Daphnia pulex: one gene and its partners. The protein of the gene in region 5 purifies or fractionates together with the protein of the main gene of each other region. This does not show direct contact. Links are inferred from orthologs where the notes say so. Each region holds a gene or a part of one and is shown on either strand. Other genes may lie near its edges. The genes, in order: anaphase-promoting complex subunit 7-like, anaphase-promoting complex subunit 4-like, anaphase-promoting complex subunit 2-like, cell division cycle protein 27 homolog and anaphase-promoting complex subunit 1-like.

Region 1 (5,466 bases), on a different chromosome or scaffold from region 5:
CGGTGGAAGCGCGGCCGGAATGCAAAGTCCTCTTCAGCAATTGGCCCTCCTGCAGCAAATGACCAACTCCAACAACAACCCCATGTCCATAGCCTCCGAACTGGAGGCACAGAAACAGGAAAACTTCCATTTGCAGAACCAAAAACAACAGCAGGGTCTATTAGCTTCGGTTCACATCAAGCAAGACCAGATTGCAACAGCACAGGCAGCCATAACAAGTATGTATGCGTGTGACACACAAATGACAGTCGAATTCCGTTCACGCCATTAAGAACCGTTTGATCAGTTGATTGACCTCTATCTTGTTTTTCCTTCATTCTTGCATTTATAGATCAGAGTAATATGGTGAACGGCCACCAACCTGGTGCTGTGATGCAAGCGGCGCTCAATCCACAGTTGCAGCAACTTCAACAGAACCTGGAAGCGCAAAAGCAGCAGCTCTTGGTCCAGCAGCAGGTACTCCAGCAGCAGGTGAAACCGGAAGCTCAGCAATTTAACAAACAACAAATCCTGATGGCCCAGCTTCTGAACGAGCCTCCGGCTAAGCGTCCTCAGCTTTGGGAACAAATCAAGCAGACGGTGACGAAACAGGAAGCTGCCATGATGGTCAATCCGTTGGCCCAGCAAGGACAGTTGGGCTTCTCTCAGATGAGCCTGGCGCAGCAGCCGAGCAGAAGCCAACAGGAATTGCAACGATACCAGACGTTGATTCAACTCTTGGGTTTGGCCAATCTGGCCTCTTCAAGCAACCCCAACCGCCAAGGATACTACACCGATCCCAATAGATCAATGGTCGCCGGTGGTCTACCTTATTCATCGTTCGGGAGCAATGCGGCAATGAGCGTTCAGGCCGTACAAATGATGCATCAGCAGCAAATGCTCTTGCTTCAACGACAGCAACAAATGATGATGCTTCGACAGCAAATGGCGATGATGAATCCGTTCATGTTCTAACATCGTCCTCCCTTTAATAACTTTATTCTTATATTTATGTTCCCACACTTTGCTCCCTAAATTAAAGCGTCCACTTAATTTTATTTGCATCTCTCTTTCCTGTTTCTCGTCGAGGAAGGAATAAAATAAATATACATTGTTTTACGTTAGTAAAATATTGAATGTTGTTACTGAATGTTGAATTTGATTAGATAATAATTTAATTTTTTAAATAATTTTAACGAAATTAGTAGATTCAGCATTCAGTACGCTGGTGCGCCGGTAGGCCTACGCTGTTTGTTGTCTCTCCGTACCGATAATCCCGCACTTTACGCGTTTCCAACCCTTCTCTGCACTTTACCACTTTATATTGTGATTTTCTTATTGGTGACTGCTGATCAAGTTTGTGTTATAGTTTTTTTCTTCTCTTTGAGTATATATATTACTTTCAGAGTTAGTCATTATGATTCTTCACGAGCAAATTCAAATGTTGTTTGATAACAAACTTTATACAAATATTGTTGCTCTGGTAACTATATAGTTTCTTGTGCTTTCCGTGAATGTTATCGATAGCTAAATGTCACCATTGTATTGCAATGCTATAAATATTAACAAATGTTTTAGTTATATCATTTATATTTTTGTTTGGGCAGTAGTATCTACTCCTACAACTCATATTATTCCATTTTGAATAAGTGCTACTGGTGACTTTTACCTTGAGTATGACAATAGGAATGAGTTCAGTGTAGATTTCATTCTATTACCATAGACTACGAAGTAGTGTAGTCTATGCTAATTACCAATCTAATGAATATCTGGAATTTTTCTACAGGCTCCAATGGTTCTTTCAGCTACTGATAACAATCCTGAGCTTTTACCTCCTGCAAGCATTGCCCAAACAATGGTGTACCTTGCAGATTCATTCCTTGAACAAAAGGAATATGGAAAAGCAGAAGTTTATTACAGAAAAGCCCTAGATCTGAGAAAAACCCTTTCTAAACAAAGGGGGATGGGAAATAGTGCTGCCAAAGAGCTTTCAGCTGAAACAGGTTTGATGTTCTGTTTTAAAGTATAAACAAGTTTTTCCTAAATAAGTTTGAAATAACAATTCTAGAGATTCGCTATCAAATGCACATATGCCACCTTGCTTTAAAACAGTCAGTGCAAGCACTTCTTGTCCTTCAAGGGATCCCAGCCAAACTACGATCAGTTAGGGTTAATATGGCTTTAGGCAAGTTGTATGTTATGAATGGGCTTGAACGCCCAGCCATTTCTGCTTTTAAAGAGGTTATTCGTGAATGTCCTTTGGCCCTAGAAGCTATATTGGCTTTGATTAAACTTGGAGTTAGTTATGTTGAACTTGTTCGTTTAATTTTTAATGGAAACCCATCAAATAACTTAGATTGGTGAGTAGGCTCATATGTATAAAATGTAAATCTTTGTTGAATAATGTTTATTTTCGTTTTTTTCCCTTAAATTCTGAAGGGTTGTTCAGTGGATCAAAGGACAGTGCCATCTTCATTCTTGTGAATATTTGAGTGCTTCTACCATTTTTTGCCATTTGCAAGATGCATCATTGCTCAAAGATGATGTAACAAATTTGGTATCACAAGGAACAACCCTTTTCTTGGCCGGGGATGGAGCGGGCGCCCTTCTACCGCTTCAACGAGTATGTTAAATGATTTGAGAAAAAAAATATCTGGTGCTCATCTCATATTTGCGTTTGTTCAGGCGCATTCCCTCGATCCTTTGTCGCTAAAAGGAATGGATATTTTAGCAGTCATTTTAGCGAATGAAAAGAAAAGTGTTGAACTTGAAGCACTAGCTCTCAAGCTAATCTCTGTTTCTGATTCTAGCTTCGAATCGTGGGTAAAATTATTTGTTTTTTATTTCTAATTACCCTTGTTCCTGTATTAATTTTAATTTATCAAATTAGGTGGCCATGGGATACCATTATCTTTTGTCACGCAAACTAACTCGCGCTCTGTACCTTGCGCATAAAGTAAGATAGCAATGCCGATGTGGTCTTATTACAAATAGTTTTAAAAACCGCGCAAACATATTTCTCATAGGCTTGCACATGTTGCATTCCAACCCCTGGGATAGAGCCCCTAATCCTTAAGGGTACGATTTTACAAGAGCTTAAAAAATGGCCTGAAGCTATCACACATTTTAGGTAAGTCCTGTGATGTTTAAAAAAAAATTATTGAAATATATTTTTTAATTATTGAGATATTTTTTAAATTTTAGTAATATTTAAAAAAAAATTATAGTAATATTAACAACAAGTTTAACATGATAATAGGGAAGGATTACAGACAGCTCCGCACCGATTCGAAATCTATCGTGGTATAGTTCACTGTTATCTAGCGCTTCAGCGAAGTCGAGAAGCCATGAATATAGCTGCTAGCTCTCTTCATCATATTGGTCATACACCTCGCACTTTCACGGTTAGCATTCTTTACAGTGTTTCGTGTTAATCATTCGTTTAAAGCAGATTTTTATCAAATGAGCCATTAATTAAATTGCTGACTGCTCTTTGCAGCTCTACGCATCCGTCCTGTTGAAGGATCCTGTTACAACCGCAAAGGGCAAGGTTTTCCTTGAAAGAGCTTTGAACATGGGTAAAATTAACATGAATAGTTTCCGGTGTAAAAAAAAAATTGTATAACGTTTTCCGTTGTAGATCCTCGATACACTCCAGCTGTATTCCTTTTAATCGACTCGTATGAGCAGGTGAGTAGCTGTACAATCCTACAGAACCACTCACTGAACTACCATTGACTACAATTATTTTCAGGCTGGCCAGAGATCAAAAGCCATTGAACTGCTTACTAAGCAAATAAATCAGCAACCTACAAACAGGTTACATCATATTTTGGGAGACCTATTCATAAAAAATGGAGATATGGATAAAGCATTGGAACAGTACAATTCTGCACTAATGTACGAGAATCTTTATCACTTGATTTTACTTTAACTTGCATATTCACATACTATGCATGTGTTTAATTTTTTTCTTTGTAATTTTAGGCTTGAACCGAATAACGTAAAAACCATTGAGGCCATCAATAGGCTTGAAAACGCATTGGTAGCTAAACTAGAAAATCATCTGGATTTGGAAGCTGATGATCTTCCTGATTCTGATGAAGAGGTAAATTCAATTTAAAGTGAAAAACAAAATATATGCATATGTTAAAAGCTATCGTTTTCAAGCCAACCATTGAAGAAGTCGACATCGATCCTATGGGTGGAATGTGGGCCGACATGAACTTGGATCAATTTCGGTAGTTTCATGATTTATTTGTACAATCACTCAAAAATACATTTTCTACAAAAAGTATAATCCTATTAGCGCTTCCCGCATTCTATTGATTTTATCATCGAAATGAAAAATTAATTAGCCTACCTTTTCCATATTTGGTTCTCTCAGGTGTCCTCTGAGGATTACTTCATGTATACTGTAATTATTTTCATTTTGTTATTCACTCCCCAAGAATATCTTGATGACCAGCTTGTACAACCAATTGATCAACTAATTTAATTAATATATAGTCTAGTCCTTTCTACACATTTTAAAAAATATGGTTTAAATGTTATTCACGAATGATCTATTTAATAAGGGAAAAATTTCATTTAACAAGACTTGCAATCTCTGAACATTTCACTTTTAATTTTCATATATATAAATCCACTGTCTAGGAAATTTTCGAGAAATACTTCATTAAAAGTATAAACCCCGGGAATCTTTAGAATAAAAAATTTACAACACAGAAGAACCAAGAACCACAAGTTTAAGCTACCAATAACCAAAAGATAAAAAGAATTGCAACCCACAAAAATAATTGTGACAAAAAGCGTTCGTCTTCCAAATTTGCAGGATTTGTTCCATGGGCTCCGTGACCTATGCAAGATTTTTACTATTATTAACCAGGTTGATTGATTTCTAATGTATCTTCACCTCTAATAACAGGATCACCAAAGTTGAAAGTGGAAGCAAATAATCCAAATGGAAAGGCTCCAATTCCAAAAGACATTTGAAATCCCCCATCAAATCCAAAATTCGAGAAAGCCTGAAAAAGTAAATTTGAAAAAGAAAATGATTCAGTAGTCTGAAATGTTTGGTCATGGTTAATAAAAAAATATTATTCTTATTTTACACTTGCGTAAGGGTACACAATATGTGTTACCAACTTCATCATTTACACAATGAAATGTAGTGAAATTATATAAATATTTACTCCTGTATTTTCTGGTTCTGTCCTTTGACCTTGAGGTCTAGGAGGCAATTTCTCTCTTGGATCTTCTTTTGAGCCCCCACGTCCATATAATGGTATAACTTTATCTCTGCTTATAGCAGCTTTGCAGACAGGGCATGACTGCCTGTTTGGTCTTGTTTCCAGCCACTGATGCAAGCACGGCCAGCTTCATGTAATAAAACAGGGAAATTAAACAACACAATCTCTGAAAACATGGAAACATTCCTTAGACTTGTACCAAAAAAGATGTCCACACATACTAATGACTGCATCT
Region 2 (5,658 bases), on a different chromosome or scaffold from region 5:
CACCTCGTTTAACTCGGTGACTTGCGTTACGTGAAGAGTACAGAATCCGGCTCGACTTTTATAATTTGGCGTTGTCAAACAAACGATTCGTCGATGACAGTGATTTGATGATGCGCCCATTGATCGTATCTTATACGACAACAAACGAGTAAGGCTAATGTTGTGCTATAACTGAAGTTCACAACGGGAAACGAGACCTTACTGGTTTTGATCAAGAGGTGTACGACACTTGGGTGGGCGTACGTCATTAAGACCCGTGCACCCAATACACCTACTGTATAGGTAAAGTCTATGCTCTACATGGACGCTTTTAAACGTGAACTCTGGATAGGAAATACGTAGCGGACGTTTATATATAAAGTCTTAATATAGCTGGGGAAATTTGATTTCTTTTTACCAGGCTCTTTTCTTTTTGCGAGTCGAGAAGCAACAAAAGGACAAAAACTTGGACAAAAAGGGTTCCATTAAGGATATCTACGTAGGCACATTAGATCGATCATGCAATACATTGACGGCGGTACTATGTTCTATTTTTAAACATTGATTTTTCTTTTAAAAACAGGCAAAGGCACATCAAAAATGAAAATGCGGAAAAGAAAAGGGGATAGAAAATTGATATTATTCCGCCTACGCTTTCCTTTCCACGTTTTCTCTTCTGTTTGTCCTTGTGTTGAATAGTCTGTGCTGTTTGCTTATCTGGTGAATGGAAAGGAGAATTACGCGATTGCCGTTGAATTGATGAGTGTCGGCCTGCATCAAGAAACGCGCGATTCAAGCGTCTCACATTCGGTCAAAGCGAAACCAATGATCTAATCTCGGCCCGACAGTCATGTATACAAACGGTCATGTCAAATAACGGAAAAATCACTGCCAGACTAAAAATAGGAACTAGTAAAGACAACAAATCCGAATCGCCTAAAAAAAAGAATGTTGGAATAATATTCAATCTCTGTTGAATATAGGATGAAGCTTGCTTGTTGGCTAGGCACGGATGAACTCTCCTTTCTCCTATTATTTCGAGTCTATATCGACGGTGGTTGCTATGCATTACCCCGCCGTTCGCAGTGTCCCCCCGGAGTCACCTCAAACCGACCAGAACGTTGGTGGTCCCGCTAGACTGCTGCATTGAATACAAATAAGATCCAACTCCATAATCGTGCCTTTTTTTCCAGTCTCTAGAGTCCAACGAATAACGAGCACTGATACGCATAATCCACAATCATTGAACTGTGTGAACAGGAGAACGTCAGCAAGCAAAAGAAAGTAGTTGTGTGGAAATCGAAGTTCTTGTTGCTCCTCATCCTCTTCAGGAGCACTATATAGGCTAGGTACTGGTACAATATACATTTAGAGAAGATGATTTTTCTTATTTGGATATCGACTTTTTCTTTCTCCCATCTGACTACGTGTTTTTTTTTATTTCGTTTACAAGTTGCTACGAAAACACAATCGTCTAGACGTAAAAGCACAAATTCGCTGATAACGAATAAATAATGAATCAATGTTGTGCCACTCCGAAGGAGCAGAAGTGTTCCCCCCGCGCGTGAGAGCTTCTGCACATTGCACGAAATGGGAGACCCCGTCAACGCCCACACGTTTTCCTAAGGCTAAGTGCGGTAAAATATTAGGCAACTGCTACTGTATATAGCAGCATGACGTTTTATTATTATCAACGACCGGCGACAAGACAAGCAGAAAACAGAGCAAACTCTCATGAAGGTAAATAATCGTGTCGCAAAGGGAGTTCGTTATTTTCCGATCGATTTCTTTAGCACCCGCGAACGCACGGGAGCGATGCTTCGCTTAATCCTCGATGCCTAAGAATAGCGCTCATTTTTTACGTGGTGAGGTTATCAACTGGGTTTCTGTTTGGCCAAGAGATTATCCTATTTGCCAGAAACCCGAATTCAATTTCGCATCCATTTACGGATAGACGAGCTTATGCTTGTTGAAAAGATGCGGCGGCAAATGCCTTAAAAAAATAAATTTGGGGAGACATTCTATCACACTGTGTGGCTATTTATTCAGTTAACGAACTACAGCCATGGACGTCAAGAGCCATGCGATACAATTGGCCTCCAGTGGTGACTGAAATAAAAAGCGAATAACGTTGAACACTTGAAGGTAACACGTAATAAAAAGGTAGAATTCAAATCTGAATGTTTCCAGGCAGTTTAAAAATCGACCGCTAGATGTACTCAAGTTGCCTAGAGAAGAAACCGAAAAAAAGTTCGAAAAGTTGTAAATACATGTTCCTTAATTTCTGTCTAATCGAGATTGTCGTGTAAAAACACAATCAGCTTAAAATGGTGTCGTGTATGATGAGACAGAGTGACGAAAAACACATTCTTGGAACTGCGTCAACAGAAATCCTTTTGTGGTCTTCCAGACGAGATCTGATTGCCGTCTCAAACAGCTCTGGTGAAAACTTGCAATCCTTCTTTTTCCCATTGTGTTACTATGATAATAAAATTTGTTTTGTATGTTATTTTCTTGTAGGTGAGGTTTTTCTGAGAAGGTTGTCATGGAGCAAAGTTTGGAAGCTTTCTAAAAGAGGTGATGGTGTCAAAGTCACAGCGATCGTTTGGAGACCAGACAGTGTGATACTAGCTGTAGGATACAGTTCTGGGCATGTGGTTCTAGTTGACGTTGAATCTGGAGAAGTAGTACACACATTCAACCCATGTGAGGAACCCATCACAGCTCTTTCCTGGGAAAACTGCAGCACAAGTGTGAAAGAAGAGGCAGACAATTTTTTGCTGCCAGAACTGCTGCCTCAACCATTGAAAGTTAACTCTTCAAAGCTAGATGCTGGGTCAGCACTTGATGGCGACAAAGGATTGAAACATGAAGAATTACTGAGCATTTTGTGGATTGGACTAAAGAATGGGTTAGTTTACGGATTCGCCTTTGGACTCTTTCCTTGCTGCCTTCTAAAACTTTCAGAAATGAGTGGTGGGAGCGATTCAATCGGACCTGTACGAAGTGTTTTCCCGAATGGTGATCACAGCCAACTGTGTTTACTAGCCGATGTTCGTGCCGGATCCTCAGAAGTTTTACTCATGACTGTGGAAACCCCACTCATAACTCATTGTTTGAAAGAGTTGTACGGTCTAGGATTTCTCTATCGGCAGATAACTGGCCTCATGGACTGCCTAATCAGTGCTCAGAAAGCTCTACAAGAAGCCTGGGAGGATGCACTAGTCGACCTCGAATCGAAAATGGTTCGCTATGAAAGCAACGACGGCAAGAGTAGCTTATCTGTCGACTTGATGGAGCTCCTGATGTTTGGCCACGCCGGGATCAAGCTGGAGAAATTTCTTGTTACCGATTTGACTGACAAAGGATTGAAACGAATCGGCCAAGCCGTAGAGTTATCCTATAGCAACATGCAGAAACTGCTCATCAAACACATCGTGTGTGCCAACTACCAACTGTCGCACTATTTGACACAACTTTGCGGGCTGGCCAAACAAGAAGATCGTTTCTCATGCCTCGGCCTCCAAGTCAATTCGTGTTTAGCTGCATACCGGGCGGCCGGCTCTTTTACCGCCAAAACCGCTGAGCTTCAACAGGTGATCGATGGTTCTGTCAAGTACCTCAAGACATTCTTCCGCTGGCTTTACGTTACCATCTTGCGCCTCTCGGACGAGCCTATCCCACCCGAGCTTGCCACCAGTACCCAGCAAGATGTACGGTTTATCGCCAACTTCCTCGCCAAAGATTTTGAGACCGATGGACAAGTACGTCTGGATCGTATTGGGCAATATTTGAGGAATGAGCCGTTGACTTTTGTTGCCAGCTCTAAAACTAGACCCTGGGACATGTTGATAGAAGCTTGTCCATCTATTGCGAATCTTCAGGACTCGGACTTATTTCAACCCCGTGCTGAACGCTCTCTTGCTCAAGAGTTCGCCCATTTGGAACATCAGGTCAAAGCCAGTTTCGAAGCTATCCCTTCAGCTGTTGGACAGACTGCGTCGTTGCCGTTTATCACCGACCTGACGTTAGATTGTCCTTCGGACAGTCTGGACAAGATCAGAATCACAACACGATCCATCAACCAACCAAAAGATCGGTGTAATCTTCTTGGCTTGACAAATTCGACCACTCATTCTTCAGGATTTTACCTGTTTGAATTCGCCTCCGAGAAGGAACGTAAGAACTTGACTCGAGCAGCATTCTTCTCCTTTGGCAAGTGCGACCATCTACCTCCTGGCGAATATAAAATAGCTGATCTGCAGTTCTATAACAACGAGATTATGTCAGTTTTGCTTTCGATCGAACGCAGCACGAATAGCATCTTCGTACAACTCAGTCTATGTCTGTTACGCGAACATTTGGCTCCCGTTGTGTCACGGCGAGGACCTTTTAACTCGTCCTTCCATTCAGACGTTTTCGTTTCATCAGTTCTCAGCCAAGGCAATCTTCGATCAGTGGATGTCAATACCTTTATTGAAGCAAGCTCGTTTCGTGTCTTAAACGACTTTCAGGCTACTACCCTCGGTCTATCGTCCAGTCGAAAGGTTGCCGCTATCTTTTCTTCGTCAAAAAGGAAGGTTCGCATATTTGACATGGAAGTTGAAGAGGAAGAAGACGTCGAAGACGAGGATCAGGACATTGAGGATGTTTCAGACTTATCGCACGGTACGTAAAAGTGAAAACCTGGTTAACTTTCAAATTGTTTATTATTAACAAGGTATGTTAATGGAATGGCATTTTTATCGCAGATATATCAAAAGATGGAGGAAATCAAAAGGATATCAGCGACGTGGATATGGCCGTCTCTCCCTGATGGACTATTAGGACCAAACATCTTGCTGACAGTTCATCAGATGAAATCGTCCATGTGTTCGTGATGCCTCTCTCGAGATAGGAGTTTTAGTTCCACTCCATCGAGAGTTAAAGCATCTTGAAGTTGAATTTCCACGTTGTAAGCGTTTGCCTATAATTGTTAATAAAATTGCATATCAAAACGAAATTGAACTGTAGCTTTTATGAAACTTACTAATTGCAGAGTGGCGAGAAAATATCTGGCTACTTCGTTTTTCGGTTGGTCATGAACAATTTTGGTAAAAGCACATTGGCTTCCTATAGGCGCATCAGACCCGAATTCCTCTATAATGCGACTTCCATAAAGGTGAATATCAAAATCACGACGCGTTTCGGCCTCACGAAGTCTCGGTTGAATCATATCATGCCACGCCTGAACTCGGCGGGTCGATTCAGTCGACGTTACAAATTCCTGAAAGAAAAATATATGCGACCGATTTCATTATAAATGTTTCATCAGAAGTAAATGGATCGTATGTACTTTGGCGGAAGCAGTATACTCTGCCATAAACTGCTGAACAAGTTCAAAAAACTGTTTTGATTCATCCATTTCTTTTGTGGGTTCTACCGGATCCCCAACAAGTTCTGGATGAAAACCGTCATATGAATCATCTGAAAAAAAAAAAGAGAGGGGGAGGGGGCTGATGAGTGAGTATCTCAATTTGAGAGATTAAGTTGGAGAACTAAGAATTATTACCAAGACCACCAGAATTGTCAAAACTATTTTCAAACTCTGGGGTATCTTTGTGGAAATGGTCATCGTCTTCGTTATTGATGTCCTGTTGGTCCATTTCTTCGATCCCTTCCGCGATATTTTCTTTATTG
Region 3 (5,406 bases), on a different chromosome or scaffold from region 5:
ATTTTCCTTTTCATCATCACGAATCGCCATAATTCTATGCATTTTGGAATGTTATATATGTACAGCATCGCAATGTGGCAGAGCTGAGAAACACCACCGCAGCAGCATTTTCACTTAATACCATCACGGCTCGACGACCAGATGGCCAACGTGAGTGGCGAAAAAATGAAGTTTTTGGCTGTTGCCGACAACTCCATAAATATTAAAAAAAATACTTTTGCTTCTTTGAAATGATTCGGCCAATCGTAGACATAATGAACGTTTCATCGTTATATTGCCTTGTTTTCTTTTAAAAATGTTGTTTTAATCACATACAGCTTATCTCAAACGACTTTGAGGTAATTTTTGTCTTTTTTCTTTTCTTTTGGCGGATGTTTTTTCCGCCTCCTTCCTGTGTAAACGGCCGGCCAACTCCGTGACGCTAAAATAAGACCAGCAGTGTAGACTTATAACTATCGGGAGGAGTTGGAGAGATGGTGAGAGAGAGAAGCCTATAGTATACTGAAACTGATGATATGTATAGCCGAATAAATAGGAAAGGAGGTTGTGTCCGAATGGGCTGCGTGTGATGCGGATGGCGATTTTTCCCTCCCGTTTCTTCCATGTCTGGTGGATGGTCGGTCGGTCGGATCTCGGTTGGCGCGGGAGCGACGCGGCGGTGCTGCTGCTGGTGCGTGAACAGGTCAACGGACCGCCAGCCCCGCCGCCTTCTCTAGATTAACTCGAGTTAAATTATAGATATTCTCTTATATCTTCGCCTATCTAGCTAAGACACAAATGAAGTTCCTTCCGTCCTCCGCTAATCCCTCCTCTTCGTGAAAGATGAACGCGTTCAAAATAAATACCTAGAAAGAAATATTTTCATCGCGGGTCATCGTGATGATGATGATCATTGCCCCGGTCAATTCCAACTTCTTTTCGCTTTGCCTCCCATCCAAATCGATTCTCGGTGATGTTTTCTTTCACAATAATTGGCGTGTCTGTGCATAATAGCTGTGATGATCACGGCTGCGTGAATATTCGAGAATGAAAGCCATCAACTTTCGTTTCTTTTCTTTTTTAAAACGTTTAACTATGTTATACGATTCGATATTTCCTATCGCTCTTCTTTTCTTTTTATGATTTTATTATATGATCTTAATCATGTTCACGGTGTATTTTGCTGATGGGTCGTCAGATAAGAGCGCCAATAACTGTCGACTCCGCCACCACCGTCGCGCTGTCGTTGGCTGTCAACTCCAGTCATGTGAATCACCGTCGCCGTCGCAACACCCGGACTCTCATCGCAAGGCAGAAAGAATAAACCGTTAGCTTTTGGCAGATGTGAATTGTATGTGTGTGGCTTTTCCAGGAGAAAAACGAACCCGGTTGAGTTGGCACATCATCCTACTATATATATACTATTTGGATTTCATGGGCAACAGCACAAGAGTGCTGCTGCGAAATCGTTCGTCTTTTATACACCGCAGACTCTCTGACCAGCAGCCGATGAACGTTTCCAGCAGCATATTTATTAATCACATGGAGCCGGGCAGCGATGCTGCACATTATCAAATGACATCAGCTTCGTGCTGCACCAGATGCTGGCTAGTTTATACATTTTGATGAAGAATTGTTACTTGTAAATCAACTTGCGACTCAACCCTGCGACCGCGGGTGAAATCGAAGCGTGATGTTTGCGCGAATTAATAGATTGAATGTGTATGTTCATGTCGTTTGAACTTATATTTAATTTATTATCTTTTTTAAATACTGAAGGTGGACATTTAAAGCCCCAAAGCTTTTTTGTAGAATTATATCCGGAAAAGTATTTTTTTTTTTTGACGCCTCCTTAGTTCTGGTGCATATAGTTACCACCAGTCGTCTCTAGTTGTCGTTCTTTTATTTTGGCGGGTGGACATTTGTAGCCCAGCAGACGAAATTAGCAAATTTTTTGAAATAACAATTTTCTGTTTTTGTCTGAACTGAAGTTCTTATGAAAATTGTATCTTTTTCTAAGAGCGTGTTAAAACCCAAAATTTTCGCACGAAATGAACACAGTGAAGCCAGTTTCATCTGCTTGGGACTATCTGAAACAAACTTTGAACCTTGATGGAAAATGTCAAGTATGATTCTTTTTTTGTTACTTGTAGATTTGTTTCATTACTCTTGTTTCACGCTCACCGTTTGAATTTTTACATGCAGAAGGAATTAGACAGAACCGAAATTGAAGGATGTGCAGAATTCATTGTTAACCATGATTTGGTAGACTTCAGCAAGGAATTGGTTTGGCAGAAGCTGTTCAATGACACACGAAATAGGATAACCCCTAATTTTTGGTCCAGATTTGAAGTGACTCAGAATGAAAATTCTGGTTACGAAAACTATAGGGAGGCTGTTAAAGTTCTGAACACCGACATTAAAAGCCTTCAGCATTACTTTTCCTTGTTGGATCACCTGTCAGGAAATGTCACGCCAAAATCATTCGCCCAATATCAGGCACACCTCAGTGCAATTTTGCTGTCTCAGATACCACCAAAGTTTGAATGCTGTGTGAATTTCTTCTACAGCCGAGCTTTCAGAGCATTCATGTCTTTAGAAAAAAGGAATTTTAACTTTGGTATTATACTTGTTCTAAAGTAGGTTTATAATTGAATTTTTAATTTACATCTTTCTACTCAAGATGGAGATGAGTCTGGTGATGTTATCACTCACTGTTCAGGGTGTGACCAAGAAATTGATCAATGTGAATGTAATGTCATTCTAGACAATTGTCATAACACCAACAAGTAAAAAAAAAAAACATTTTTCTCTTTGATTATGTTTCAGCACATTTGATCATATTTATTTTTTTAGGGCTTTGGCTGAAATAGGAATACTTGAGAAACTATCTGTGGGGATGATTCACACTCTCATTTTGACTCAAATCCAATCACATGTCCAGGATTCATGTGTAGGAAACTTTTCCTCTTCTCAAATTGAAATGCTTGAAAAGGTATTTTATTAATGTGCTAATGGTCTTAATGGGCATTTGAATCACCCTGTTCGTTTCTTGTTCTGAACCATTTGCAGTGGTTGCAAAACATAATTTTTCGGTGGTTAGGTATCGTCTATGGAGAAGACTACATCCAACAGGATCAAGTGCGAAAAAATTTTACCCAATTCCTGTACCACGCCTATACACACGCTAGAATCGAACAGTTATTCGAGATCATTATCGGTTCGTCAATTCCAAATCATGTATTGTGTTCATTGTTTCATAATCTTTCTTGTAATAGGCTACCCCGAGAGCTTTCCTTCGGTAAAGGATTTACAGGAATGCCTTTCACGGACGCAGTTGAAACCAATTTTGGCGCAGTCTCTTAAAACGACTTTAGAAGCAAGATTGCTTCACCAGGGAGCCACAACAGAAGACATACTAATCGCCTACGTATCGGCCATAAGAGCGTTTAGCGTACTTGATCCCACTGGCGTGCTTCTCGATGTAGCGTGTGATCCGATCAAGTATTATTATTATTCAATTTCGATCCGTCACTTTTGGCTTATGATGTATTCAACTATTTCCAACAGGCAATATTTGCGACTTAGAGGAGACACTGTTCGGCATATAATTCACAGTTTGACTGACAGTAGCGGAGAGCTGGGCGGAGAGCTTGAGTTGGGAAGAACGGGAACTGCTATACTGGATGAAGAATCTGTTGCAGCAGTTGGAGATACCGAAGCCTCAACCGATTGGGAAAATTGGCTTCCAGCACCAAGCGATGCCGATCCTAGCAAACTTTGGACAGGAAAAAAGCCGGTAATTTCATCTTGTTAATAAAGATGTTTTTAAAATAGTTTCGGTTCTGTAAAACAAATTCTTATTTAAAAGGGCGATATTGTACCAATGTTGGTGAACATCTACGGCAGTAAAAGCCTGTTTGTCAAGGAATATCGCAAGCTTTTGTCGGATCGATTGCTCCTGAACCTTCATTTTGACACAGAAGAAGAGATTCGTAATTTAGAATTTCTCAAAATTCGATTTGGAGAAAACGAATTGCACAATTGCGAAGTGATGCTCAAGGACGTGGCAGACTCCAAGAGAATCAACACCCACCTACAGTCGGTCGTGCACAAACCTGAAGTACGTTTTTAATTCGTTTAGCGCATCGATAAATAAAAGTTAATTTTTTTTCTATTTATTTCCATCCAGTTTCCGATTTCGGCTATGATTATATCAGCTCAGTATTGGGACCAGCTGAAGGACAAACCGATGAAGTTGCCGATCAAAATCATCAACCAGCTCGAACAATATAATCAAAACTATAAAACGGTGAAAACGAGTCGTTCTCTGCATTGGGTACCTCAGTCGGGTTCTGTGGAACTGGAACTGGAGTTTGATAATCACCGTTGCGTGTCTTTCACCGTCCCGCCCGATTTGGCTGCCATCATATCTCATTTTGAAGACAAGGATCAATGGGATTTGGAAGAGCTTAGCCAGGAAATGGAATTACCAATGTCTCATCTTCGAAGGCGAGTTCACGTGTGGCAAACACACGGGGTCCTCCAGGAAATTTCTACTGATCGCTTCAAAGTGGATGAAAATGGACCAAATTTCACAGGACATAAGGTATATCTTAAAAAGTTATTACCGTTTCTCAAATGTATGTATTTTGCAATTACGTCCTTTTCGTAGATTCTTTTAGAAACGCTAGCGAAAATGGAGGAAGAAGAAGAAGATGACGACGAGGAAGATAGTGAGAAAAAAACGGAAGAAGATGGTTTGCAAGTTTATTGGTCGTACGTTGTTGGCATGCTGACAAATCTCGAAGCCCTTCCAGTTGAGCGTATTCACCAGATGCTTAAAATGTTTACAATGCAAGGCTCTAGTGGGGCAGAGTGCACTCTGCAACAGTTGAAAAATTTCCTTGATTCAAAAGTTAAGCAACAGTTGTTGTCTTTCTCCTCTGGAATGTATAGACTCCCCAAACCATGAACTAATTTTTTTAATGATAATTTAAAAATGTGTATTCATTACAATAAATTTTCTGAAGTGATTACCTCTGTAATGAAATAAAAAGTTGTTAAAATACGTTTAATATTTGTATTCGAATTTTCAAATTTCAATGTCATAAATAAGTCAGGTTACTGGCAACGCTGTATTTCGAATTCACACCTGGCGATTTGGCGATGCTGCACTCAGTTTGAATGAAACGACAATCGACAACGGCCAAAAAGTTTGCCCACTGCACAGACAAATCGGTTTACATTTTGAAATCCCTCATTCGTTTTAAATATTTGACAGGGGTTCATAAGTACTGAACCGAATAGGCTCGAAAATGAAACCATCGTAAGTTTTCTACAAACCGTATTAGTGTGTGATTTGTGTTTCGTGCTCTCTTCATGTCCGATTATGCTCTTTTTTTCACTATGCTTTGTATACGAAAG
Region 4 (5,735 bases), about 1.2 Mb from region 5:
ATCAGACCAGTTTTCGTCAAAATTTGTGCGGTCAGGAGAATCACGGTAAAATTTAAGGCAAGCTTCCTAATTTAGCAAAATGTTAAATAAAGATTGGTTGTAATGTCATTAGAGAACTAGTAAAGTTTGCCTTACCAATTTAGGGACTACGTCATCTTTGACGGTGGCGTCATACACAACGTTGTATTGCATGGCCATAGGACGTCCAAGTTCAAGTGGTCGAGATTCGGTAGGAGGAGACACCCAGTAGCACGTCAAGTGAGTGGTCGACGTTGATTGGCTAGGTTCCGCGTGATGGAACGGTGCTGAATAAAAAAGTAAAGTGAACAGGTAATGATAACATATAATAGTAAGGAATATTTCATTACATGAAATCATCGCTACGCAAGGTCGGTAACCTTGATCACCAGTTCCTTTGAGTTTTAATTGATACTCGAGTTGTGAATCAATATCTTGCACAGTTGGAGTGGGCGGTGATAAAGGGTGGCTATGATACCATCCTACCAAGCAAAGTCCAGCACTCTCTATTGATTGAGCGATTTTGATTTCGGTAGCTTGGCCTCGTTTATCATCAGTCGTAACTCGATTTAAACAAGGGAACGCTTGTTTAATCGTGAGTGCTAAAATGAATCACACAAATTATTGTGGGTATGTGTTTTCTAAACATATCAGTTAGCACTCACTGTTCGTGTTAATGTCCCATTGGCCTGCTAAATATCCAACAACTTCTGAACGCGTTAGAGAGCAATGAACGTCCATTACAACAAGAGCAGTCGTGTTTAACGATATTAGAAAAGGTTGAAGTTTCCCTATATTTGCGAACGATATGGCTTCAACTAACAAATTTGGATCCCTGGTAACGAAACGACAATAAGAAATAGAAACTAGAAACAAACTCCAAACTTAAAATAATTGTTTTGTCTACTTACTCGATACTTGTCCTGTTTCCTAGCGTTTCGTGCTTTATAATTTGTCGATCACCGACAGTTTGTTTCATACTCATTTGAATTACTGGTTCAGGTTCCAGCAGTACAGGCTCATTAGTGGACAAATTACAATCATCAGGAGTCGAGTTGTCGCTAACCTGTTCTAAACGTCGTTTACGCATCCATTGGTTTTTATATACATCCAAAGGCCTGCCACAATATCGTACCTACATCATTTAAAAATCTGAACTAAATTTACTGAACTTGATAACGAGAATTTAAACATATTTTATGCTTACTGATGACCAACCACAACCATATTTCTGTTCGGGATTAACAATTTTTTTGCAGCGCAAGGCCCACGCCGAGGGTGAACTAAAGACTTCTTGAACTTCAGCAGAAAAAATTTTTCCATCTGCCAGTAAGTCCCCATTAAATTTTTGTCCCTAAATAAATTCACATAGGGAATAGAAGTTTTAAACTTGGAAGATAAGAAATCTAAAAGAAATATCGTATAATGTTTACCATGTACTCTAGTGACATAGCACCTTCTTTTGGTTGAAGGATGTTATCTTCAAGTAACATTTGCAATGTGACTCCTCTACCAGTAAATCCACCAGCAGTTTTGGACTTTTTCTCATTCAGTTCTTCATCTTCATTGCCATCCATGTTATCCTGTAATTTTTGTCATAAAATTGTTATTCATTGGAATTTTAATAGCACAAAGTATTATTAATTAATTACCTCTCCTTCCATTTCAGGATCTAATGTTGCATTGTGGGTTTCAGACATGTTACATTGCTCATTTGTGTGTTCAACACTAACTGATGTGATCTTTTGTTGTTCTTGAGGATCTGCTTGATCACTAATACTTGAGTCTTCTGATGCTTCAATCATGCTTATGCCCTGTATTAAGAACACAGCTTTAATATTGCTAAACAAAAGGTTTACAACTAAAAAGAATTAAATTTGAAAAATATTTGTTTATTTGAAGTAGATTAATTGAAAAAAGGACTATTAGAAGAACTAAAAAACACTTAACTAAAAATTCATATTTTAGAATTACGCGCCTTTTTTATTAATTGTTATTAAAAAAACGTCTGATTTACCTATTCCAGTACCATAATTACAATTACAACCACGTTATTTCGAACAATCTAGGCCAAATGACAGTAGTTAATACATTGCAACACTTAAATTTACCTGAATAAATAACTTGTTGACAATTTCGAAAGCAAATTGTCCAAGTGCGGTTTAATAATAAGATTGATAAAACTGACCGTTGAAATGTCAAAAAATGTCAAAACTGAAGCATCACGATTTGAATCAATTCATCGAATATCGTAGATTGATCGATACTTAGTGAAGGCGATACAGCGATACTCGAAACGGTTTGGTTAAAAAGAGGAAGGGGCAAAAAAAACTTTGTGTTACATTAAAACGTAAGCTCCGACGGCAATTTGGTGGAATTATTTTGACTTAAATTGATTTCCGTCCATGGGAATTCAAACTTGATTGTATATCTTCATAGATTTCATATGTTAACTCATTACTAGTCAACATGTTGGTACAAGAACCTGTCCAGGTTAGTAACATGTTAATCAATGATGTTTAGTGATCTAAAAATTGCATATATTTAGGGTGTACAATGAAGGGGGTTTCTTTGTATGCCAGTTTTTGGTTCATTTTCAATAATGGTTAAATTTTTCTAAAATGCAGGCGGCTATCTGGCATTGTCTTAATCACTACAACTATTGGAATGCTACTTTTCTTGCTGAGAAACTTCAGGATGAAAGTATTATGTGTATACTTAATTTGTAAAGGTTATTTTTCCATAAATCTTATGTTTCTTTCAGTTAATAATGAGGAAAGCTTGTATCTTCTGGCCACTTGCTACTATCGGTCAGGAAAAGCGAATCAAGCAAGAAGTTTACTGCAATCAAAAGGAACTCAGTCGCCACAATGTCAATATCTGTTAGCCAAATGTTGTTTAGATCTGAATAAGTATGTGGTTATTCTCATTGAAAATAATTAAAATCTAAAGAATGTGTTTTTTTTTAGGCTTGCTGAAGCAGAAGGAACATTGATGGGTGGAAATATTTTCAAACAAAAATCTTTGGATGATGTTGTGACTGAATTTGGAGATGCTGCTGCTTTTGCCCTAGTTTTGTTGGGTCAAGTTTACATGCAGACAGAACGAAAGTTCAAAGCTATAGAAGTACTCAACAGAGCTCTTAAGCTTAATCCATTCCTGTGGGCTGCTTTTGAGCTTCTTTGTCGGCTTGGTGAAAAACCAGATGCAGAAGATGTCTTTCAGTTAGAGGGATTGGATAATTTCTCTCATTGTCATGGAACAAACCCAATAGCTTCATTGATCACTGCTCAGATCAATCAATCACATGATGCAACCACTAAAGTACATCCTCATGAACCAATGTCTGTTGACCAAATCTCCACTCCTATACTTCAAGTCCCTGCAGCTGATGTTATAGTAAACACAAGGTAAACATGGCATATTATTTAAAACACAAATTATTTTGAGATTTAATCACCATTTCTTTACACAACTTGTGTATTTTACTATATTTCTAGCACTCCCCTACCATGTGTGCCTCTTATTCATCACAATATACCTAATTTGACACCAGATGATCAAATGATTCCCTCTATACCGTTGACGAGTACCATGGCTCCAACACGTTCCAGAGCACGGTCGTTCCGGCTTCGATCAGTCTTTAAAGCCGGTCAAGCGCTGTCTCCCATGTCCCCCAAGTATAATTTAAGTTTCCATTCACTTGATGACACTTTATTTAATTTACGTAATTTAGTTTTGGCATCATACCTTTGGATATGTCTTCAGCAAGCGATGCTTCTCAAAGTTCGATGGTCTATTTGTGTCCCTCGCTAGCCCCACCGGTCTCTGAAACAAAAGAAGCAAAGATAATGCCTAAACGGGTATGATTTTTTTCCTTTTAAACAAATAATATAGAGTGTTTCATAATCTCTCCAAATGCTTATGCTGTTTTTAGTTGGGTGGTCGTCGTGAAGCAGCTAGCACTGCTCCAAGCGCGCCTTCACGTATGGGAGTTTTCTGCCAATCCGGAAATACAGCTACACCGACATTGTCTTCACCCCCAGCCGCTAACGTGAGGAGAAGTACACGACTTTACAGGTTTCAGTAACATTTGTGTATATATAAATTCGTATATTATTAATTAACGTATTCTATTTTGATCACAGTTCGAACAATTCCGTTAAGGAGAATAACAAAAGTAGCTCTCGTTTTGTTGTGCCCAAGTTGCCACTGAAGCGTAGCAAATCCAAACTTACTAAAGGTGATACCCCGGAAAGCGGATTAGCACCTATTAGCGATTTTCCAGAGCTAGTAGGAAAAATGGATAGAGAGGATGAGAAACAAGCTACCCTACCTACTCATTTAACTTCGGTGCAGACTCCACCATCAAATTTGATTCAAGAGGCAGTCCAAATGCAAAAGCAGTCAGCTGAAGGACTTATGTCTCTTCTTCGGATTGTAGGCAAAGCATTTTCACACCTGACTTCATATGAGTCTCGTCAAGCGATTGACACAATAGAATGGCTCTCCGCACGCCACAAAAGATCAAGCTGGGTCCTCTCTCTTATGGCTAAAGCTTACTTTGAACTGGCAGACTACAAGCAAGCTACTAGGTTAGTTTTACTTTTATCTTGTGTAACAGTTTGACAGGAAATTGACAGATATTTTTTAATTATTAAGGTTGTTTCAAGAAGTGCGTGAAATGGAGCCATATCGCACTGATCTGATGGAGTATTATAGTACTGCTCTCTGGCATCTGCAGCAAGAAGTGTCACTCTCGGCATTAGCACAAGACATGCTGGAACAAGACAAAATGTCAGCTGCGACTTGGTGTTGTGCCGGAAATTGCTTGGATTTGCAGAAAGATCGCGAACAAGCTCTAAAGTTTTTCCAACGAGCAATCCAAGTTGATCCTAAATTTGCTTATGCATACACTCTTTTGGGTCATCAGTATCTTGCCCTCGAAGAAACGGAGAAAGCCATGGATTGCTTTAAAAATGCTGTGAGAGTTGATCCTATTCATTATAACGGATGGTAAACCTTCTTTAACAAAGCAGCATTAATTGATTTGTTCTAACTTTTTGTTTGTGAAAAGGTACGGTATGGGAATAATTTACTACAAACAAGAGCGCTATTCGATGGCAGAATTTTACTTCAAGAAGGCACTGGATATCAATAAAAACAGTCCAGTGCTAAAATGCCACGTCGCCATTGTGGAACATGCGCTTCAAAGGACCGATAAGGCACTTCAAATGCTCAATTCAGCACTTCTAGTAGAAGAACGCAATCCCCTCTGCAAATTTCACCGTGCTTCTATTTACTTCGCCTGTGATCGACTCGATGAAGCATTGGCAGAATTGCACGAGTTAAAAGAAATTGCTCCGCGAGAAGCTCTCGTTTATTACCTTATGGGAAATGTATGACCAAACTAACGTCTTTTTAGTCTTTTTGTCGTATTTCATGTTACTCTTTGCTTCTTAGGTTTATAAGAAAAGAAACGAAACACATTTGGCGCTAACTTACTTTAGTTGGGCAAATGATTTGGATCCAAAAGGAGCAAGTGGAGCAAGACGTCACATCAAAGAGGTAATTGACCCCACTTCCTGTCTGAGCCTTGTTCCAGTAAGTGGAGTGTCTCAAGAACCACTTCAAGCCTCTATCAGCAACGATCAAGGTAACAATTAAAAAAAAAATCACTGCAGTTTTTCTGTTTTCAATGTTATCACAATTTTTAC
Region 5 (5,747 bases):
AGCCGGCGGAGCAGCCTCATGCCCGATTTGACTTCGTCGATCATGCACGATTCAAGCGTTACTCTCAGTCCGATTCCGGCCTCGTCTCCTCCACTATCTTTCCGCACTCTACAGGATGCAGTGGGCTGCCAGGTGACACTCAAATGCTCCGATCGAAGTCTTTTAAGAACATTGCTTCCACCGTTATGCACCTCGGCTTTGGTGGAACGTTGTTTGAGTTCATTGCGAGCCGCATTACCTTCTGATATTTATCTGGCTGTCGCTTCTAAATTTTATTGTGTTCGTAATGCACCTGGCCCTTCGGACTTCTCTCCTCCAGCGGAGTTTGATGCCTTCCGTTCTACGCTCCTAACTTTATTGGGATTCGACGCCAAATCACTGGATATATCAATTTCTTCTATTGCCAGCCCCATTATTGAATCGAAGAAAAGTCGGACAAATTTGGAAGAAGGAGCCAACGAAGATTGGCAATATCTGGTGGAGTCACAATACGCTCGGATATTTTCCCAGTCGCTTGGATTAGATACTTCTCGCATCTTTAATCCCATCGGCCAGCAGTCGATGGTGCAAGTCACTAACGATTCGCCCTATTTCACGTATCTACCACACGTTTTGCTCGTGCTTCATCTACTCTTTGAGGACCTCAAGTTGGATGCCCTCTTGTGGAATGATGCCCAACTTTTGGTGACGCTTCTTATCCCTTTGGCTTCAGCTCTCAACTTAACGCAGTACTGTGATTCGTATTGGAGAGATTTCCCGCTCGTTTGGAACACCGCCAATATCAAACTGGGTGTTCTTCAACCAACGGATTTAGATAAACTCCAAGGGATGATTCAGCGAATAGAGGTTCCGTCCAATATTCACAGCCACCTGTTGGCGCTCATGAGTAAAAAGAAGATCCACAGCCCGTATCCACATGTAAAACTGGTCAATACTCGTTCCAGAGATATCATTACTCTCTTTGCCATCCTTTACGGAAGAGCGGATGAACATCATCTGGTGTCTGTTCACGAATACGTCCGCGATTTTGAATGGGTAGAACACACTGGCAGAGTTTCACTACCATTTAATGTTGTAGTTCCAAATGAGGAACGAAGACAGATCGCTTTGGTTTTAAAAATGTCTTCGTGCGGATGGACGCGGGAGGATCTCAACGCTTTACCAGCCGGAATAGGATTACCTTTACGTTATGCTCTGTTCCGTTGCCAACTAGATCCACCGACAGATTGGCCTGACGAAGCATACAAACTGATCAACCGACAAGACATGTGCCAATCCTCGGCTGGCTGCACTGTCCAGGTGTCGCCGTCAACTGCCCCGGAATTGAATTTAAAAATTGAAGCGCAAAGGAGTAAAACAGCCGGCAGTGGGGGTAATAGCAAAGACGACCATGCCGAAGACGGAATGGAAGAAGTAATTGAATTACCCATCTGGAAGTTACTTTTTCCTCGAGATCATCGTATCCAGGAAATTCGTCGTCTTCTTGGCTCTTCTCGACCAGTAGCTGTCGTCCTCCCAGCTTCGCAACAACAAGGACTAAGTGAACATGAATTGATCGAGGAGAGAGAGAAGCAGTTACTTGTACTTTGCATCCGTGTCATGGCCCTGTCTGTTGGCCGTGGAATGCTCACTCTTCACACTGCTACACCCACCGTCACGGAAACTTTGTCTATTCCAAAGTATATTGAAGAATTTTCTATTTTCTCTTCAATTTAGTTTAATCATTTTTCTTGTCGATTAAAGATTGTGTTTAAATGGTAAGACGCCTCACAATGGTGCGGCGGTGGATATGACGCACATTGACGTACCTGCCAATATGTCACTTTGGCCGCAGTTTCACAACGGTAAATCATTTTATTTGTGGCATGGAAAAATGTAACGTCAACTTCAATTTATTCGCAGGTGTGGCAGCTGGCTTAAGAGTGTCTCCGGATTCAAAATATGTCGACAGTAATTGGATTAACTTGAGCCGTGGTGGGAATCGTTCAGGAGCTGCAGTTGGATCAGCTCCGGGAGAGTTAAACGCCGAAGTGGCTGGTTTCCTACTAGGACTAGGAATAACTGGACATTTAAATAAATTCAGCGACCTTGTCATTCACGAGCACTTAAACCGCGACCATGAAATGACGCAATTGGCATTGGTGTTGGGTCTTGGCATAGGAAAGCGTGGCTCTATGGAAGCGGATACTCTTCGAATAATCTCTGTTTACGTCGAATCTTTGTCACCTGCTTCGTCATCCAGCAGCAACGGTTGCGGCGGGGGCTCGATTGAAGTGCCCCAAAATGTCCGTGTGGCTGCCCTCATGTCCATCGGTTTCCTCTATCAAGGATCGGCGCATCGCTACATGACAGAAGTGCTCCTGGCTGAGATTGATCGACCACCTGGACCGGAGATGGATAACTGTGTTGATAGAGAGTCCTATTCTCTTTCTGCTGGTCTGGCTCTCGGCTTAGTGACTCTGGGCCAAGGCGGACAAATGACGGGGTTAGCCGATCTCCGATTAGCAGATACTCTCTATCATTTCATGGTGGGAGGAACGAAGCGCAACTTTAACACGTCCAATGCCCGCCCCAGAAGCATGACGTCAGCTAGCTACCAGATTCGTGAAGGAAACACAGTCAACGTGGATGTCACTGCTCCAGGAGCCATTCTTGCTCTCGGGCTAATGTTTCATCGGTGAGATTATTGTTATTAAGCGAAAAGAATTACATTTTAAGTGTCAACCCTTTAATACGATTATTGTTTTTAGTACAAATAACGCAGCCGCGGCCAAATGGATGGAAGCACCTGATTCACAGCAACTACTCGACTCGATAAGACCAGATTTTCTATTACTGCGCACATTGGCACGGGGGTTGATCCTGTGGGACGACGTAATGCCCACGCGCGATTGGGTCGAATCCAATGTCCCTCCTAATATTCGTCGCTATTCACTACGCAATCCGGGTGATCCTGACAGTCAATCTCAACAAGTCGATTACGAAACTATGAATCAAGCTTTCTACAATATCATGGCAGGCTCATGCTTTGTCCTGGGTTTGAAGTTCGCAGGATCAGCCAATGCGGATGCTTTCAACACTTTGTATCGTTATTCCAAAGTGTTGATCTCGCTGTCGGGTCGTTCCGTTGCGGAATGGGCTGGAAAAGCGACTCTTGAAGCCTGTCTCAACACTCTAGTATTGTCCCTTTCCATGGTCATGGCCGGTACAGGAGATTTGCAAGTTCTGAGGCTTTGTCGTCACTTACGCCTAAGGAGCGGGACCTTTAGTAATGTTGTTACATATGGATCACATGTAAGTTTGTGTGTTAAAAGTGTCTGTTGATCTTTAATCATCATTTGGTTATTTTGTAGATGGCGACTCATATGGCACTGGGATTCTTGTACATGGGAGGTGGCCGGCTATCACTTAGCACGTCGCCGGAGGCAATCGCTGCATTAGTATGCGCGTGCTACCCCAAATTTCCTACTCACTCAAACGACAATCGATACCACCTCCAAGCACTTCGGCATTTGTACGTTCTAGCAACCCAGCCCCGTTTGCTGATGCCTATTGAGATGCCCAACATGCAACCTTGCTACACTAACCTACAAGTGGTGTTTAATGACGCGGATAGCTCATCATTTCAGTTGCGAGCTCCTTGTCTGTTGCCTGAATTACGTTTTCTCCAGCGCGTCCAATTGTTTGATCCTCGTTATCGCAGCATCGTTTTTGATCGACAGCACAACTGGGGCAAGCTGGAATGCATTCTTCAAGGGAAAGACCACCTTATTGTTCAGCGCAAGGCCGGCTGTTTGTCATACACTGAAGATCCTACTGGTTTAGCGTCGTTAGCTACTCCGACCCTTTCGGCCTGGGCTATTCGTGCTTCGACGGTCGCCAATTTCACCACAGACAAGTTCGTCATATTCCTTTGCCGTCACTTTCTCGGCGCGTCAGACCGTGGCCAATCACAGATTCTTATCGAACAGGAGTCAAAACCATTAGAAACGCAACTTCGCCTTCTTAGTCTCATTCTTAATGACTGTGTTGTAAATGAAAAGACCGAGATGGTTAAACCATGGCTCCAGCTTCTACACAAATCTGATCAGAGGGACTCGTCAACTCTTCCGCTCTGGCAACTCAAGTTTCTCATCAACTTTCCCACGAAGAACTTGCCTGCCTCTGTTAATTCAACACCTTTCATCGATCCAGAAATGGTGCTGGCTCTTCGTCACGAACTTGAGTCTAGCTGGGATCACCTTGATACGGAATTGCGCACCAGCCTCAACACTTATCTGTCGGGTAGAGATACTCCCCGTGAACGATCGCAGTCGGTAAAGTTGGCCAACCTAACCGTGTTTTATGACCTTCCGATGCCGATGCCTGAATTGGATTCCGACCCCGTTTCACTGTTGCTTCAATCAGGAGATCAAAAACTAGCTGCTCGTTTAGCCATTCTTCTTCATCTGTGATGGTAAATTCATTGATAAAATAATAAATTATTTTAATCTTGTTCATGGATTTGATTGATGGATCAACTAAGTGACAAAGATTGCATAAATGAGTGATTTGTATTTTCCACTAACTTAAAGTTGCTCTTTTCTACTTGTTCCCCAACCAAAATGATATTTCTAGAAATATCATTTATAGGTATCACTGTATATAGATACAGTATTATGCGTGATTTATTTGAAGTATTAACTCGGGGAATATCAAGATTCTTGATCAATTCTTCTTTGTCAGTTCAATTTCTTCGCGTATTAGTTCAGACAAATTACGGAATCCCTGGAAGATTAAAAGCAAAAAAATCTTATAGAATTCATAGTTTTTTTAAAAAATAATCAATGTTTATCGAAAATACTCGATCAATGTTTTCTGGAGTTGGCAGAGAAAACGACGCCCTCATGTAGGGGCACGGCTGAGATGGATCCGTCATGAATTCTCGGCCAGGTAGTAAAATCACATCTTTTTTCAGGGCTCGTTCCATAATCATCGGTCGTGTGTCACTGATTCCCAAGCATTTGATCCAAAGAAACATCCCGCCTTGGGGTACGTTCCATTCAGCAAGTCCTTGATGCAGAAATATTACTTTACAGGTAAGCTTGTCGATATTCGGCATTTATTTCTTGATTTTTCAACCTGTCAAATGAGTTTCCGCTGCTTTGAGCATTATTTCACGCTGCTGAAGATAAAAATTCTGAACGCGATCAACGTGTCCCATGAAACCTTCCTCTCCCCACTGTTTTAGCAGTTCTGAGACTAGAACCTATTGTTTGTAATTTTCGGTTTCAGTTTGATTCTTCTCTTGTAACGTGTATAACTAGTTAACTACTGTACCTGAGACATAGATGACGCATGAATAACTGACACCTGCATGTGGTACAAAATTCGTTCCATGAGTGGACGAGGACCTGTGACGTAGCCAAGACGAATTCCGGAACTCAGTACTTTGGACAGTGAATCAAATCGAACGACACGGCCATCGGTGTCGATAGAAAGAAAACTTGGAGTCCGCTTCTGTAGAGAATCTTGTTTAGTTAACGTAATTTCAGGGGCGCTATTAAATGTTTCTTAGGGATAACCTTATCAAACTGTAGAAAATAATATGGATCATCCTCCAAGATAATTAGATCGTAATCTTTGGCAATCTGGTATATCTCTTGTCGTCGATCCAAAGGAATAGAAACTCCCGTTGGATTGGCTCCTGCAGGATTGACATACAACACCTGAAAAATATAACAGCCTTTAAATTATGCCTATTCAAT

The links.
Region 1: the proteins of anaphase-promoting complex subunit 1-like (region 5) and anaphase-promoting complex subunit 7-like fractionate together in Homo sapiens (co-fractionation; 6 studies listed by BioGRID and IntAct, with this or other methods). This does not show direct contact. The link is inferred for Daphnia pulex from reciprocal best matches to the Homo sapiens genes ANAPC1 and ANAPC7.
Region 2: the proteins of anaphase-promoting complex subunit 1-like (region 5) and anaphase-promoting complex subunit 4-like purify together in Homo sapiens (co-purification; 13 studies listed by BioGRID and IntAct, with this or other methods). This does not show direct contact. The link is inferred for Daphnia pulex from reciprocal best matches to the Homo sapiens genes ANAPC1 and ANAPC4.
Region 3: the proteins of anaphase-promoting complex subunit 1-like (region 5) and anaphase-promoting complex subunit 2-like fractionate together in Homo sapiens (co-fractionation; 8 studies listed by BioGRID and IntAct, with this or other methods). This does not show direct contact. The link is inferred for Daphnia pulex from reciprocal best matches to the Homo sapiens genes ANAPC1 and ANAPC2.
Region 4: the proteins of anaphase-promoting complex subunit 1-like (region 5) and cell division cycle protein 27 homolog purify together in Homo sapiens (affinity purification with mass spectrometry; 16 studies listed by BioGRID and IntAct, with this or other methods). This does not show direct contact. The link is inferred for Daphnia pulex from reciprocal best matches to the Homo sapiens genes ANAPC1 and CDC27.

The regions. Positions count from the first base shown.
Region 1 is NC_060017.1:4,025,513-4,030,978, forward strand, and holds anaphase-promoting complex subunit 7-like, read left to right. Parts: upstream 1-1,219; 5' UTR 1,220-1,396; coding exon 1,397-1,462; intron 1,463-1,765; coding exon 1,766-1,982; intron 1,983-2,047; coding exon 2,048-2,339; intron 2,340-2,418; coding exon 2,419-2,602; intron 2,603-2,664; coding exon 2,665-2,802; intron 2,803-2,869; coding exon 2,870-2,935; intron 2,936-3,005; coding exon 3,006-3,109; intron 3,110-3,238; coding exon 3,239-3,383; intron 3,384-3,478; coding exon 3,479-3,557; intron 3,558-3,619; coding exon 3,620-3,669; intron 3,670-3,733; coding exon 3,734-3,879; intron 3,880-3,966; coding exon 3,967-4,087; intron 4,088-4,149; coding exon 4,150-4,224; 3' UTR 4,225-4,276; downstream 4,277-5,466. Other genes in the region: myb-like protein K, read left to right, coding at 1-218, 332-954; E3 ubiquitin-protein ligase RNF185-like, read right to left, coding at 4,728-4,837, 4,895-5,006, 5,175-5,358, 5,431-5,466. UniProt on the Homo sapiens protein: Component of the anaphase promoting complex/cyclosome (APC/C), a cell cycle-regulated E3 ubiquitin ligase that controls progression through mitosis and the G1 phase of the cell cycle.
Region 2 is NC_060021.1:8,253,243-8,258,900, forward strand, and holds anaphase-promoting complex subunit 4-like, read left to right. Parts: upstream 1-2,053; 5' UTR 2,054-2,306; coding exon 2,307-2,421; intron 2,422-2,499; coding exon 2,500-4,647; intron 4,648-4,669; exon of another isoform or gene 4,670-4,730; coding exon 4,731-4,795; 3' UTR 4,796-4,831; coding exon of another isoform or gene 4,832-4,945; 3' UTR 4,946-4,981; downstream 4,982-5,658. Other genes in the region: condensin-2 complex subunit H2-like, read right to left, coding at 4,832-4,945, 5,009-5,245, 5,315-5,445, 5,531-5,650. UniProt on the Homo sapiens protein: Component of the anaphase promoting complex/cyclosome (APC/C), a cell cycle-regulated E3 ubiquitin ligase that controls progression through mitosis and the G1 phase of the cell cycle.
Region 3 is NC_060023.1:8,674,228-8,679,633, reverse strand, and holds anaphase-promoting complex subunit 2-like, read left to right. Parts: upstream 1-1,918; 5' UTR 1,919-2,030; coding exon 2,031-2,105; intron 2,106-2,184; coding exon 2,185-2,599; intron 2,600-2,662; coding exon 2,663-2,768; intron 2,769-2,835; coding exon 2,836-2,974; intron 2,975-3,051; coding exon 3,052-3,199; intron 3,200-3,257; coding exon 3,258-3,483; intron 3,484-3,549; coding exon 3,550-3,778; intron 3,779-3,850; coding exon 3,851-4,102; intron 4,103-4,171; coding exon 4,172-4,588; intron 4,589-4,654; coding exon 4,655-4,954; 3' UTR 4,955-5,057; downstream 5,058-5,406. Other genes in the region: kinesin-like protein KIF23, read left to right, coding at 5,298-5,308. UniProt on the Homo sapiens protein: Together with the RING-H2 protein ANAPC11, constitutes the catalytic component of the anaphase promoting complex/cyclosome (APC/C), a cell cycle-regulated E3 ubiquitin ligase that controls progression through mitosis and the G1 phase of the cell cycle.
Region 4 is NC_060018.1:4,688,796-4,694,530, reverse strand, and holds the start of cell division cycle protein 27 homolog, read left to right. Parts: upstream 1-2,288; 5' UTR 2,289-2,487; coding exon 2,488-2,511; intron 2,512-2,645; coding exon 2,646-2,721; intron 2,722-2,782; coding exon 2,783-2,930; intron 2,931-2,987; coding exon 2,988-3,428; intron 3,429-3,518; coding exon 3,519-3,698; intron 3,699-3,754; coding exon 3,755-3,881; intron 3,882-3,955; coding exon 3,956-4,098; intron 4,099-4,166; coding exon 4,167-4,613; intron 4,614-4,680; coding exon 4,681-5,034; intron 5,035-5,095; coding exon 5,096-5,417; intron 5,418-5,481; coding exon 5,482-5,674; intron 5,675-5,735. Other genes in the region: MPN domain-containing protein-like, read right to left, coding at 1-66, 136-620, 684-853, 930-1,153, 1,226-1,372, 1,452-1,601, 1,671-1,823. UniProt on the Homo sapiens protein: Component of the anaphase promoting complex/cyclosome (APC/C), a cell cycle-regulated E3 ubiquitin ligase that controls progression through mitosis and the G1 phase of the cell cycle.
Region 5 is NC_060018.1:3,471,198-3,476,944, reverse strand, and holds the end of anaphase-promoting complex subunit 1-like, read left to right. Parts: coding exon 1-1,679; intron 1,680-1,743; coding exon 1,744-1,844; intron 1,845-1,902; coding exon 1,903-2,677; intron 2,678-2,750; coding exon 2,751-3,294; intron 3,295-3,353; coding exon 3,354-4,454; 3' UTR 4,455-4,495; downstream 4,496-5,747. Other genes in the region: kynurenine/alpha-aminoadipate aminotransferase, mitochondrial-like, read right to left, coding at 4,708-4,767, 4,844-5,052, 5,122-5,248, 5,320-5,499, 5,565-5,708. UniProt on the Homo sapiens protein: Component of the anaphase promoting complex/cyclosome (APC/C), a cell cycle-regulated E3 ubiquitin ligase that controls progression through mitosis and the G1 phase of the cell cycle.